3 linked regions of the Callithrix jacchus genome follow. The protein of the gene in region 1 interacts with the protein of each later gene in a pairwise test. Links are inferred from orthologs where the notes say so. Each region holds a gene or a part of one and is shown on either strand. Other genes may lie near its edges.

What was found. The genes of interacting proteins can lie anywhere in the genome.
Region 2: the proteins of ALAS1 (region 1) and DUSP19 interact in a two-hybrid assay, tested with the Homo sapiens proteins (3 studies listed by BioGRID and IntAct). The two-hybrid records come from large-scale screens. The link is inferred for Callithrix jacchus from reciprocal best matches to the Homo sapiens genes ALAS1 and DUSP19.
Region 3: the proteins of ALAS1 (region 1) and ZMAT1 interact in a two-hybrid assay, tested with the Homo sapiens proteins (2 studies listed by BioGRID). The two-hybrid records come from large-scale screens. The link is inferred for Callithrix jacchus from reciprocal best matches to the Homo sapiens genes ALAS1 and ZMAT1.

The regions. Positions count from the first base shown.
Region 1 is NC_133516.1:34,723,327-34,727,539, reverse strand, and holds the start of ALAS1 (5-aminolevulinate synthase, non-specific, mitochondrial), read right to left. Parts: upstream 2,801-4,213; 5' UTR 2,673-2,800; intron 1,676-2,672; exon of another isoform or gene 1,665-1,675; 5' UTR 1,644-1,664; coding exon 1,445-1,643; intron 1-1,444.
Region 2 is NC_133507.1:45,954,187-45,957,686, reverse strand, and holds part of DUSP19 (dual specificity protein phosphatase 19), read left to right. Parts: intron 1-2,377; coding exon 2,378-2,530; intron 2,531-3,500.
Region 3 is NC_133524.1:98,363,220-98,366,719, reverse strand, and holds part of ZMAT1 (zinc finger matrin-type protein 1), read right to left. Parts: intron 1,089-3,500; coding exon 982-1,088; intron 1-981.

The DNA.
Region 1 (4,213 bases):
TGCAAACATTTTGGTAAAAAATACACAACTAACTCTTGAAAATAAACCCTACAAAGGATTAAATCCTTTCTACTTAAAGAAAAAAAATTCTTCTTACAATCCTCCCACACCCAGAGAATACACATAAGAAAAGCCTGTAAAATATTCTCTAGGATTAAGTGGAACCTCAAAAGCCTTGTTCTCTCCTAGCAGAACCAGAGCAAACTAAGTTTAACTCCAGTCTCTTTATAAAAACAACAACAAATGTATATACAAATAAAGATATAGGGCACGATCTCAGCTCACTCCAACCACCGCTTCCTGGGTTCAAGCAAGCCTCAATCTCTCCAAGTAGATGGGATTACAGGCGTACACAACCATGCCCAGCTAATTTTTTAATTTTTTGTAGAGATGGGGTTTTGCCATGTGGCCAGGCTGGTCTTGAACTCCTGGCCTCAGTGATCCAAATGCCTCTGCCTGCCAAAGTGCTGGGATTACAGGAGTGAGTCACTCCACTAATAAATACTGTACAATTTCACTTATATAAGGTACCTAGAGTAGTCAAATTCATAGAGACAGAAAGCAGAATGGTGGTTGCCAGAGGCTGGGGAGAGAGGAATGGAAAGTTACTGTTTGGTGGGTATACTTTTAGTTTGGGAAGATGAAAAAAGTTCTGGAAATGGATGGCAGTGATGACTGCACAACAATGTGAATACCACTGAACCGTACATTTTAAAATGCTTAAAATGGCATTTTTTTCTTGTGTATTTTACCACAATAAAACGAAACTTTTAAGGAAAAAAAAATCACTATTTAAAAAAGCCAAAGGGGCCAGGCACAGTGGCTCACATCTGTAACCCCAGCACCTTGGGAAGCCAAGGCAGGTGGATCATTTGAGATCAGGAGTTCAAGACCAGTCTGGCCAACATAATGAAACCCTACCAAAAGTACAAAAATTATCCAGGTGTGGTGGTACATGCCTGTAGTCCCAGGTACTTGGGAGGCTGAGGCAGTAGAATCACTTGAACCCAGGGGAGGTGGAGGTTGCAATAAGCCAAGATTGCATCACTGCACTCCAACCTGGGCAACAGAGTAAGACTCTGTCTCAAAAAAAGAAAAACTAACTAAATAAAAAGCCGAAGGCCAAATGTTTAATGAAAGAAAGGTCAGAATAGAACATTCCAATTTAATAGTTATGTGAACAAGGCACAGAGGAAATACTAAAACCCCAACTGAAACTAACATGCAATCCAAAAACCTGTATGTGTAACACTGGCCACTGTTTCACTTTTAAAGATGGAGAAACTAAAAGTGCCTACTCTTGGGCGACAATCATATGAAATAATCCGTGCACAGAGCAGCCCTCTGTGAGTGAGTGTGGCCCTTACCACCACTGTGGATTGCGTCTAGTCTACCAATGAGCACAAACACCCCTGTCTGCTCCTTCATTGCCAACGACACTTACTCTCACTGGCCGGAGGGGTTTCTTTGATCTGTTGGTAGTGTACTGCTGCGGTGGACAGTGCCCGAGGGGCTGGCTTGGCCCCAGCTTCCATCATCTTGGGGCAATTTTGGGCATAGAACAACAGAGATTTGCCTGCTTTCTGCAGAAAGGCCTGGGGGACTCGGGATAAGAATGGGCAGCGTCGAACAACAGTCTCCATGTTCAAGAAGTATGCTGGCTCCTGTGGAAAGACTGATGATGAGTGACATCAACACTTGTTAATAATCAGGCAAATATCACTGCAAACTCACTGGATTCAGGTGTCACCTGCAGTTTATATAAAGGGTACCCTGGAATACTAACATTTCTCACTCAAAAATGCCTAAGGACAGCACGGATGTGCTGTCAGCTAAGGAATGGTGACCACACTCTACCCAGATCATCAACTTCTTCATTCCCCAGCTCTACACAAAGGCACCTGCAAAGCAACTTCACCAAATGAAGTAAGTACTGACAGTAAATAACCAAGAGCGTGGAAGGATGAGGGACAAGTCAAGAACAGGTTTGGGAGCCCAGAGGTTTCTTAGGGAGATGCATAGTGCAGATAAGACATCTTGGCTTACACCCAGGTGGAGAAGGGATGCTAGGGAAGAAGCCACTCATTCATCCAGGCAGGGAAGACTCTTAAGAATCCTGACTTTCTCCTTGTTCCCACATCCCCGAAACCACCCCTAAACCCGAGGAAGGAGTCCAGCAGGGCTCTGGATCCCTGAGGCAAGGATTCCTCCGCGGTCGTGTCCCCACAGCGGGAAGAACTGGACATAACTTAGAAAGGAGGGGCACAAACGAGGGTAGGGGTATGAGGGCCAGCGCCTTGGGATTCACTGGGAACATGCAGGGGCTAGAAAGTCGAGGGAGTTGAGTTTGGAGAAAGAGGGCAGTCCTCGGACAGTGGGGGTCAAAGGTGACCCGAGGTCGAGGTCTCGACAATGAGGAGAGGGATAAGAGAAGGGAATTCTAAAGCGGCAGGTTTAACCGGGAATAGCCCGAGGGGGCCGAAAGGGGGAAACTGAAACGGCGGTCTAGGCAAAAGATCTGGAGGATAAACGCTGACCCCCGCCCCCGCCACAGGCGGCGGTGACTGGGACAGTGGGGGATGGGGTTCCAGTGCCCGGCGAGAGGTGCTCCAACTAGCAAGACACGCGAGGGCTTCCCCGGCCGGCGCCGCACCCACAACGCTGGCCCTCACCTGCGCGGGGGACTCTGCGGAGGCGGCGGAGGGCACTCAAGCCGAGAAGTCCAAACGAACCGTTCGTTGCCCTTGTCCAAGAGCAGCCCCAGGCCGCGACCGCCGGCGCCTTAATATACAGCGGGTGTGACCGCTGCGCATGTGCGGTAGCCGCGGCCTTCTTCCGCGCAGGCGCGCCGCGTCGCTCTCGGCGGTGTGGGTGGCGGGGACCCGGCTGAGAGACCCACTTCTTGGGCTCTGCGGGTATCCTTGCGCCGGGCATTCCCCGGCTCGCTTGTCTGAAGGAGGAGCAACCAGGAGGTGGGCGGACGAGGTCTCTTTTCCCAACCTCGTCCTGCACACGCGTGCTGCCTCCCCACCAACTACCCTGGAGCTCAAAACCCTACATCCGGATCGTGGGGTATAAAATGGCAAGATCGAGGCGAAGTGCCGCTAGGACCAAGTGGGGGACTACAGGGTTGTCAAGAATGGGTGTCTTGGACATGGAGGAAGAAGGAGATCCAAGGGATTCTGGGCCGGGGTATTAAGCAGGATCCACTCCACCTGCGACTTGCTTTGGAAGCTGGGAACGAGGGCTTCCCGGAGGAGGTGGAGAAGATCGCCCACAGATGAAGTGGTCCTGGAGGGATGCGGAAGAAGCGGGACACTCAACTGTGTCACTTTCTGGTCTAAGATGATCCAGAGAGGGGCAGAAGAATAGGGCTGGTTGGAACCCATCTATTCCACAGCTCTGAGCACTTGGGGAGGAGGGAGAGGCACAGGGTCTGACAATAGTTAGCTTGTAACAAATATTTAGCCACTATTTTTATTTTTCCATCCAGGGTTGTCCGAAGCCCCTTGCTGGCCACGCTGGGCAAGCAGGGTGGCTTAGGCCTCCATTCCAGAGGTCATGATTGGGCCCATACCTCCCTTGAGTTTCCCTGGCACAACACATGAATTGTAGGGCTTGACAAACTCCTCTCAGGAATGCCAGTCTGCCTTCCTTGCTCCACACCCTTCCCAACTTGGCTTAGGCTGGGTTGGGCTGGGCCTGTGTCTGGCTCACAGGTACTCTCCTCCAGTCTTGAGGAAAGGGCCATTGAGGTTATTCCTTTCCCAGCTGGGCATTAACAAGAGGGACAAGGTCCAGAATGACAGTGACTAGGGTGTGTTCAGGTACTTTCCATTTCCCTCTCTGAGCATCCAGCTGGTTGCAAGGCAGGTGAGGCGAGTCTCCACCTTCAGAGGAGGTACCTGGGTTCAAGAGTGGCAGTAGGACCAGTCCAGGATGAGGGCTCTGGTCTGAGAGCTTGAGTTCTGTGCCATCCTGTCGAGGGATCCTGGGCAGTGCTCGTAACCCAGAGAGGATGAGAAAGGTCAGGGTCAGCACTTCAGCTCGGACCCAAGTGCAGCTGGAAGTGGGAGCGCAATCAGAATATTGAGTCCTTTGCTCATCTTTGGGCCATGCTTTCCTCATCTGGTCAATAGGATCATAATCCCTGACATGCCTGCCTCACAGGGTTTTTTGTTGTTTTTTGTTTGTTTTTATTTGTTTGTTTTGA
Region 2 (3,500 bases), on another chromosome or scaffold:
GATGATAGTGGCTGAGATTAAGATGTAGTGGAGATAGAATTAGATAAATGTGAGGGGCTTTTTAGAGGGCAGAATTCTTACAATTTTGTGATTGATTACTTATTTGGCAGGATAGGGAGTGGGGCTAAGGGAGAAGGAGGAGTCAAGGCTGATGTCTAGCTTTCTTTGATAAGTAAGTAAGGTTATTATTCCACGAGCTTGAGAACAACATAGAAGGAACAGGCTTTGGAGGAAAAACAATGTGCTCAGATTTGAATATTTTAGATTTTGGGTGATGTAGATCATCTAGGTGGGTGGATATGTGGATGTGAAGGTCAATATATAGATTTAGGAATCTTCCACTTTTAAGTAGTTACTGAGATCGTTGGAATAGATGAAGTTGCCTGGGGAAAAGTGTAAAGTAAGAGAGAAAAGGGTCTTTGACAGAATCTTATCACAGAACTGATAAATTGAGGAATATCACCCTATATGAAATGATGAAAGGAAGAAGAGTCTGCAGTGGAAAAGGAAGATCTAAAAGAGGCCAAAAGAAGATAAAACAAAAAGATGGTGTCATGGAAGCCAATGTCAGATGCTGCAAAAGTTTATGTACAATTAGGACTAAATTATGTCCATGGGACTTGCTGACAGAGAGGTGGTTAAAAAGTGCGTTTGTGGCAAGTTTCATTTAAATTGGAGGTCAAAGCCATATTGCAAAAGATTGAGAAGTGAAGAAGTGATATCATGGGGCGTAGGGAGGGAAGAGAGAGGAGCCATAGGTGAGGAGGGGGATGGGAGAACTTTGAGCATGTTTGCTGATGGTAGAGGAAGGAATTGAAGATACAGAAAAGCAAGAATTATGGCTATAGGGAGATGGCAAGAAAGTAGGAAGCACTGTGACTCCAAGCAAAGATTCTGAAATAAGCTATATCGAAGATGCATGAGCACATCCTTCCATGTAATCAGAAGGCAGAGGGAAGGTACAGATGTAGACAGAGTTGTTAGTTTTTTTTGTTTGTTTGTTTGTTTTGAGACAGAGTCTTGCTCTCTTGTTTAGGCTGGAGTGCAATGGCTTGATCTCAGCTCACTGCAACCTTTACCTCCCAAGTTCAAGTGATTCTCAACCTTTGGATTCTCTTAATGGACTTTCTATGTGGCTTCCACATGCTTGGTGGACTTTAGGAAAAGGGGCTCAAATACATAGATGGAAGAGGAGGAGGTTCCTCAACTGTACCACCTGAAAGAAAATATTTTATAACCATCCCTCCCCTTACTTTTCAGCCAGATTAGTTCATCAGAATCTCTGGGTATGAGACCCTGTAGTATTGATAGTTTTTAAAAGTTCATCAGGTCTCTCTACTAAAAATAAAATAATTCGCTGGGCGTGGTGGCTCGTGCCTGTAATCCCAGCTACTCTGGAGGTTGAGGCAGGAGAATCACTTGAACCAGGGAGTTGGAGGCTGCAGTGAGCTGAGATTGCGCCACTGCACCCCAGCCTGGCGACAGAGCAAGACTCATCTCAAAAAAAAAAAAAAAAAGTTCATCAGGTGACTCTAATGTGCAGTCCTCCTGGAGAACCATTTTATTAAGTGTAGAATATGAAGGAAAATAGGAAAATGACTCTTGAAAGGAAAGTTGTGTACCACTGATCTATTTCTCCTATTGAAGTTTTTATATGGATATTCACAGACTAATTCAACAAGATTTTAAGCATTTTCTGCTAAACTCACTGCTCATTTGCTTGTAACACTAAGTTAAACATGTTCCCTACCCCCTTGGAGTTTCTAGTTCAATGAAAGAGACAGTCTCTAAGTGGTATGAGCTATAATAGGGCAAGTCCAGGGCTATGAGAATATATAGGCCAGGTGTGGTTGCCCACACCTATAATCCTAGCACTGTGGGAGCATTATTTGAGGCCAGGAGTTCAATACCAGCCTGGGCCAAAAAAGTGAAACCCCTCCCCTGAAAAAAAAAGTTAGCTGTGTGTGGTGGTACCTGCCTGTAATCCCAGCTACTTGGGAGGCTGAGGCGGGAGGATCACCTGAGCATAGGAGTTCAAGATTGCAGTGACCTATGATTGCATCATTGTACTCCAGCCTGGGTGACAGAAAGAGACCCTGTCTCTACATGATGATAATAATAATAGTTAAGAGAGAGAGAGAGAGAGAGAGAGAGAGAGTGAGAGAGAGAGAGAGAGAGAGAGAGAGAGAGAGAGAGAGAAAACGAGAACATATAGTAGAAGGAGCACTTCTGGTGTGGGATGAAGCAGTATTATCATTTAAGTGAGTTGTATTTAAATTTTTTACCATTCTTGTTACAGATATCAACACCCTAGTCTCTTTTTAGATAACTTAATTCATGGGATTTAAAAAAATCATCTTTTTTCTTTCTCTTTAAGGTGACTCATATTCTTAATGTTGCATATGGAGTTGAAAATGCTTTCCTCAATGACTTTACATATAAGAGCATTTCTATACTGGATCTGCCTGAAACCAACATCCTGTCTTATTTTCCAGAATGTTTTGAATTTATTGAAGAAGCAAAAAGGAAGGTGAGTTTTGTTTTGATCCATAGTTCTTCAGAAGCAAAAATTTGAAAGTAGGGATTCATTACCCAATCTTTATTATTTTTGCAATGAATCTCCAAAAAATCCATTAAGAAATTTCCCTTCTAACAATATTTTATTATTTTCTACAGTTATTTGGTTAATTGCTCTTTTTTTAATGATATATTTACTTTAACGTTAATTCAGTTTCTCATTTTCCTGTGTGTTACTGAGAATTGTTAAGAGATAAAATCCTCTACTTACCGAGTTTTTCTCTGTAGACATGTAGTTAGATTTCCTTTGAGGGTTTATAGCCACCTGACCTCTCACCAATTTGCAGGATAATCAGAGGGACTATAAAACAGAGACTGCTCTAGACTTATGAGTGTTATTTATAATGATTGCTGTGCATTTCATTTTAATGAAATTATGAATGAGTTAGTTATTATGAAACTATGCATTTTTAGCAATAAAATTTTAAGACACTCTAAGGACTAAATGTGTATTGCTTTACTTGGATTGTATGACAATGCTGATCAGAAGCTGTCTGTTGGTTTTCTGAAGTTAGAAGACCAATAGCCAATGTCATATAGTACTTCAATTTTGTTATTGGATTCTAGTCAACATTCTGACAGGCAAGGTTTCTTTGTTGGCTGTTATTAATAATTATTACTTGAAATGGCATCAGTTTTAGTCAGCAAATAATTCTTACAGACTTTATGTAAGATACGTAGATGGGAAAGTAGGAGCATTTACGGAGAGAAATAACTCTTCTGGAACACCTAACAGTGACAGGATTAGAATTGGGTTTAATTGAACTCTGGCCTACCTTCTCTCCCTTCTACTTTCGCTCCTTCCCAGTTTCTCTCCCTTTAATTTACTAGTATTTATTGAATGCCTTATGTACCCAGCACTATTCTATGTGCTTCCTAGTAGACTACCTGGAAAATATATAACTATTCAATTCTAGTGTCCA
Region 3 (3,500 bases), on another chromosome or scaffold:
CAAGTATAGTAAGATATTTTACCACTCTCATTTTATAGGTCCAAGAAATATGTTCAGAAAGGTAAAGTGACTTGCGAAAGCTTCTATAACTAGTCAGCGGTGGAGTTAAGACTTAAACCTAGCTCCTCTCAATCCAGTCAACACAATTTCCCTATCTGTAATTATAGTAATTTAATTTCAGCCAACATTAGGACTAAAATATAATTACCCATAAGAATAGCAATGGGAAGAACAAGATGAGGTGTTTAAAAAAGGAGAACTGGCATTACATTAGTTTTAATTGAATGTATCTTGTATTTTTGGTAACCTAGATACCAGATATGAAAGAAATCCAACAGCTCATCAGATGATGTAGAAATATGAAGCAACACCAAATGAAGGGAAAGAACACTGGATATGAAATCAGAATAAACCATTTTTAGGCTTAGTCATACCAGTGACTAGCCATGGAGAATTATTAACCCTCTGGGTCTCAGTTTTCTAATCTATAAACTAAGAGAATAAGGACATTAAACATTCTCTGTTTTAGCTCTAGGAGTCTACGGTCCTGTGTCTAAAAACATGTGGCTCAATCAACTAGTTAGTTTTGTTTTTATGGTCTTCATTTGCTGTAAACAAAGACTCTGGGAGTTCTAGATAATATCCCTTGATTCACATTTAGTCTCCTATGCAAGCTTCATAATGCCTCTCTTATATTTAATATAAGGATGGATGACTTGATGGATACAAAGGGAGGCAGAGCGGTGTGAAAAAAAAAGAAAAAATCTTTGGAGTAAAAAGACTGAGTTTAATCTTAATTCCCCAAACTTCAAGTAGTATATTACCAACTCTTTCTGAGCCAGTCTCCTCATCCATCAAAGGAAAATAATACTACCTTTTTCACAGGATTCTTGTAAGAATCAAGTAAAATGACTTATAGGAAGTTTACTTGCTACATTTAAAAATCTGCTTTAGACCCTATTACCATTATTTTTAACCTACCTCATAATGTGAAATTCTTTGTGATTCAAACTGTAGCATCACTCCACATACTTGACAAAACTTATCTGTAAAAAGTTCAGCCTTTTTCTGTTTATTCCAAATGGGATCTGTGAATAAAAAAGGGAAGACAAATATATCACGTTAATAAATACTTAGAGATATCATTTTCATTCCTCAACTATATATGATTTTATATGCCACTTCAAATTTGAGTGCTTGTGAGACTAGAGTAACAGCTTTTTGTTCAAGTATGCAATTTAAATTTAATATACACATACTAAGCATCCCTCTAATGTCAGATATAGCAAGAGTTTATTTAGTATGATAAGTCTAGGCAATGGCATTCTAAGGAATCATTATGGGGGCATCAGTAATTTCATGAGCTTCATGGAATGATTTTGGACACTGGTAATTAAAGGCTGGATTTCTAAATCCAGCCTTGGCCAGGTGCAGTGGCTGATTCCTGTAATACCAGCACTTTGGGAGGCTAAGATAAGAGGATCGCTCAAGGCCAGGAGTTTGAGACCAGCCTGGGCAACAGAGCAAGACACCATCTCTACGAAAAATAGAAATAAAAATTAGCAGGGCATCATGGCACATGCCTGTGGTCCTAGCTACTCCAGAGGCTAGGATGATCACTTGAGCCCAGGAGGTTGAGGCAGTTGAGGCTGCAGTGAGGTATGATTGTGCCTTTCAGCCTGGGTGACAGCAAGACACTGCTTGAAACAAATGAACAAAGAACCAACCAAAAAACAAACCAGAAAACCAACCAAACAAACAAAAAACAGCCTTGATATTTTGTGTTTTATAGCAGACAACCCTAAGAAATGCTTTGCTTTAGGGCCGTCACTTGTCACACAATTCTCGTAAGAATCAAGTAAGAGATTTTTACCACTCTCATTTTACAGGTCCAAGAAACATGAAGCAATGCCTTCAATGTTGTCTAGAAATTACAAGGAACCACAAACTATCTTTGTCCATAGTAGGCAAATATCCTTCATAACTGTACAAACACTAGCACACTCATGTGGCCAAACAAGTCTCATACAGGTCTCTCAAAACTATAATGTAATGTTCGTATACTAAGATCTAGAAATGTATGCTAAAGTGTTTATCACTTTAATAAATAATACCTGCCAACACTTTCTGCATTTACACTTGAGGTCGATACTGTCATCTAAAATTCTTAAGAGCGAGTGTATTCTGCCAAAGTTTATCCATTTTTCTATACAGTGTGAGTCACAAACATCAAAATTCTCATTGTTACTTGGCTATCAAAGTGAATAAGTTGGTACCAAATGCTTTCACAAAGGGATGCCAATTAATATATTAAATGAATGTTTAATTAGCATATTAAATGAATAAAAATTTGTAGAACAAATACAATATATCCAACTCCCAATAATAACAAAAATTAAATATATGCACAGAAAAATCTGGAATAAAATAAACCATATTTACAAATGGTTAGCTCTGATAAGTGGGGCTAGAAAAGAAGCAAGGAGAGACAACTTAATGTTTAACTCTATGTACAACTGTCTTAATTAAAAAACCATTAGGAAGAACATCATCAAGATGGTGGAATAGGACTTTTCAGCACTCATTTCTCTACAGAAACATCAATTAAAACAACTATCCACACATGAAAATAACTTCACAAGAGCAAAAAAAAACTAAAAAACAAAACAAATAGGCAGGAGATTATAGCAGCATCTGGGTGTAGCACAGACATAAGGTACATTCAAGAAGGTAGGAAAGATAGTTTCACACTATTAGCATCAGCCCTCTACCAACCCCGGCATAGAGTGGAGAGAGATACCCTCTGTGTGAGAGAAATAGAGGGAAGTGAGCACTGAACATTCATTCAACTCTAAAACTGGACCCACGCCAATAATAACCAGTGCTAAGAAGGCCCCCACAGCCTCCAGGTCAGTGGACTCAGCCTCCAGGCCTGCCCCAGTCACAAGCTGAATCATTCAACCCCAACCTCCAGGCCTGCACAGTGAAGTTGGTCTTCAGGTTACCTCAACATCAAGCTAACCTCAGCAGTACCAAGGCCTCAACCACCCTCAGCATTGGACTAGCTCCCAAGGCTCCTGGCTTCAGGCCAGACCCCTACAGCCCTAGTCATAAGGCAGGCACCTGCAGACTCAGCCCCTCAAGGAGGCTGATATAGGCCCCAAGAGGCTGGTACCCACAGACTGAGCCTCCAAGCCCACGCCAGCACCAGGCAGGATTCCATAGCCCCACCCTCTAGGCTGGCTCCTGTAGTCCTCGCTGGATCTCCTCCAACTCAGTGTTCTAGCAGACCCAGGGCCCAGGCCAGTTCCAGTAGACCACAGTGCTGGATTGGCTGCTATGGACCTAGGTGCCAGGACCATCCCTGTGTTACCAAGTTCCAGGCTGGGCCCTGCAGCTCCAGGACCCATGTTAGCCCCAAGGAACCTAACCTCTAAGCTAGCCCTTGCACATCACATCTCTGGGCTTGCATCTACAGACTCAGGCTCCAGGCCACCCTC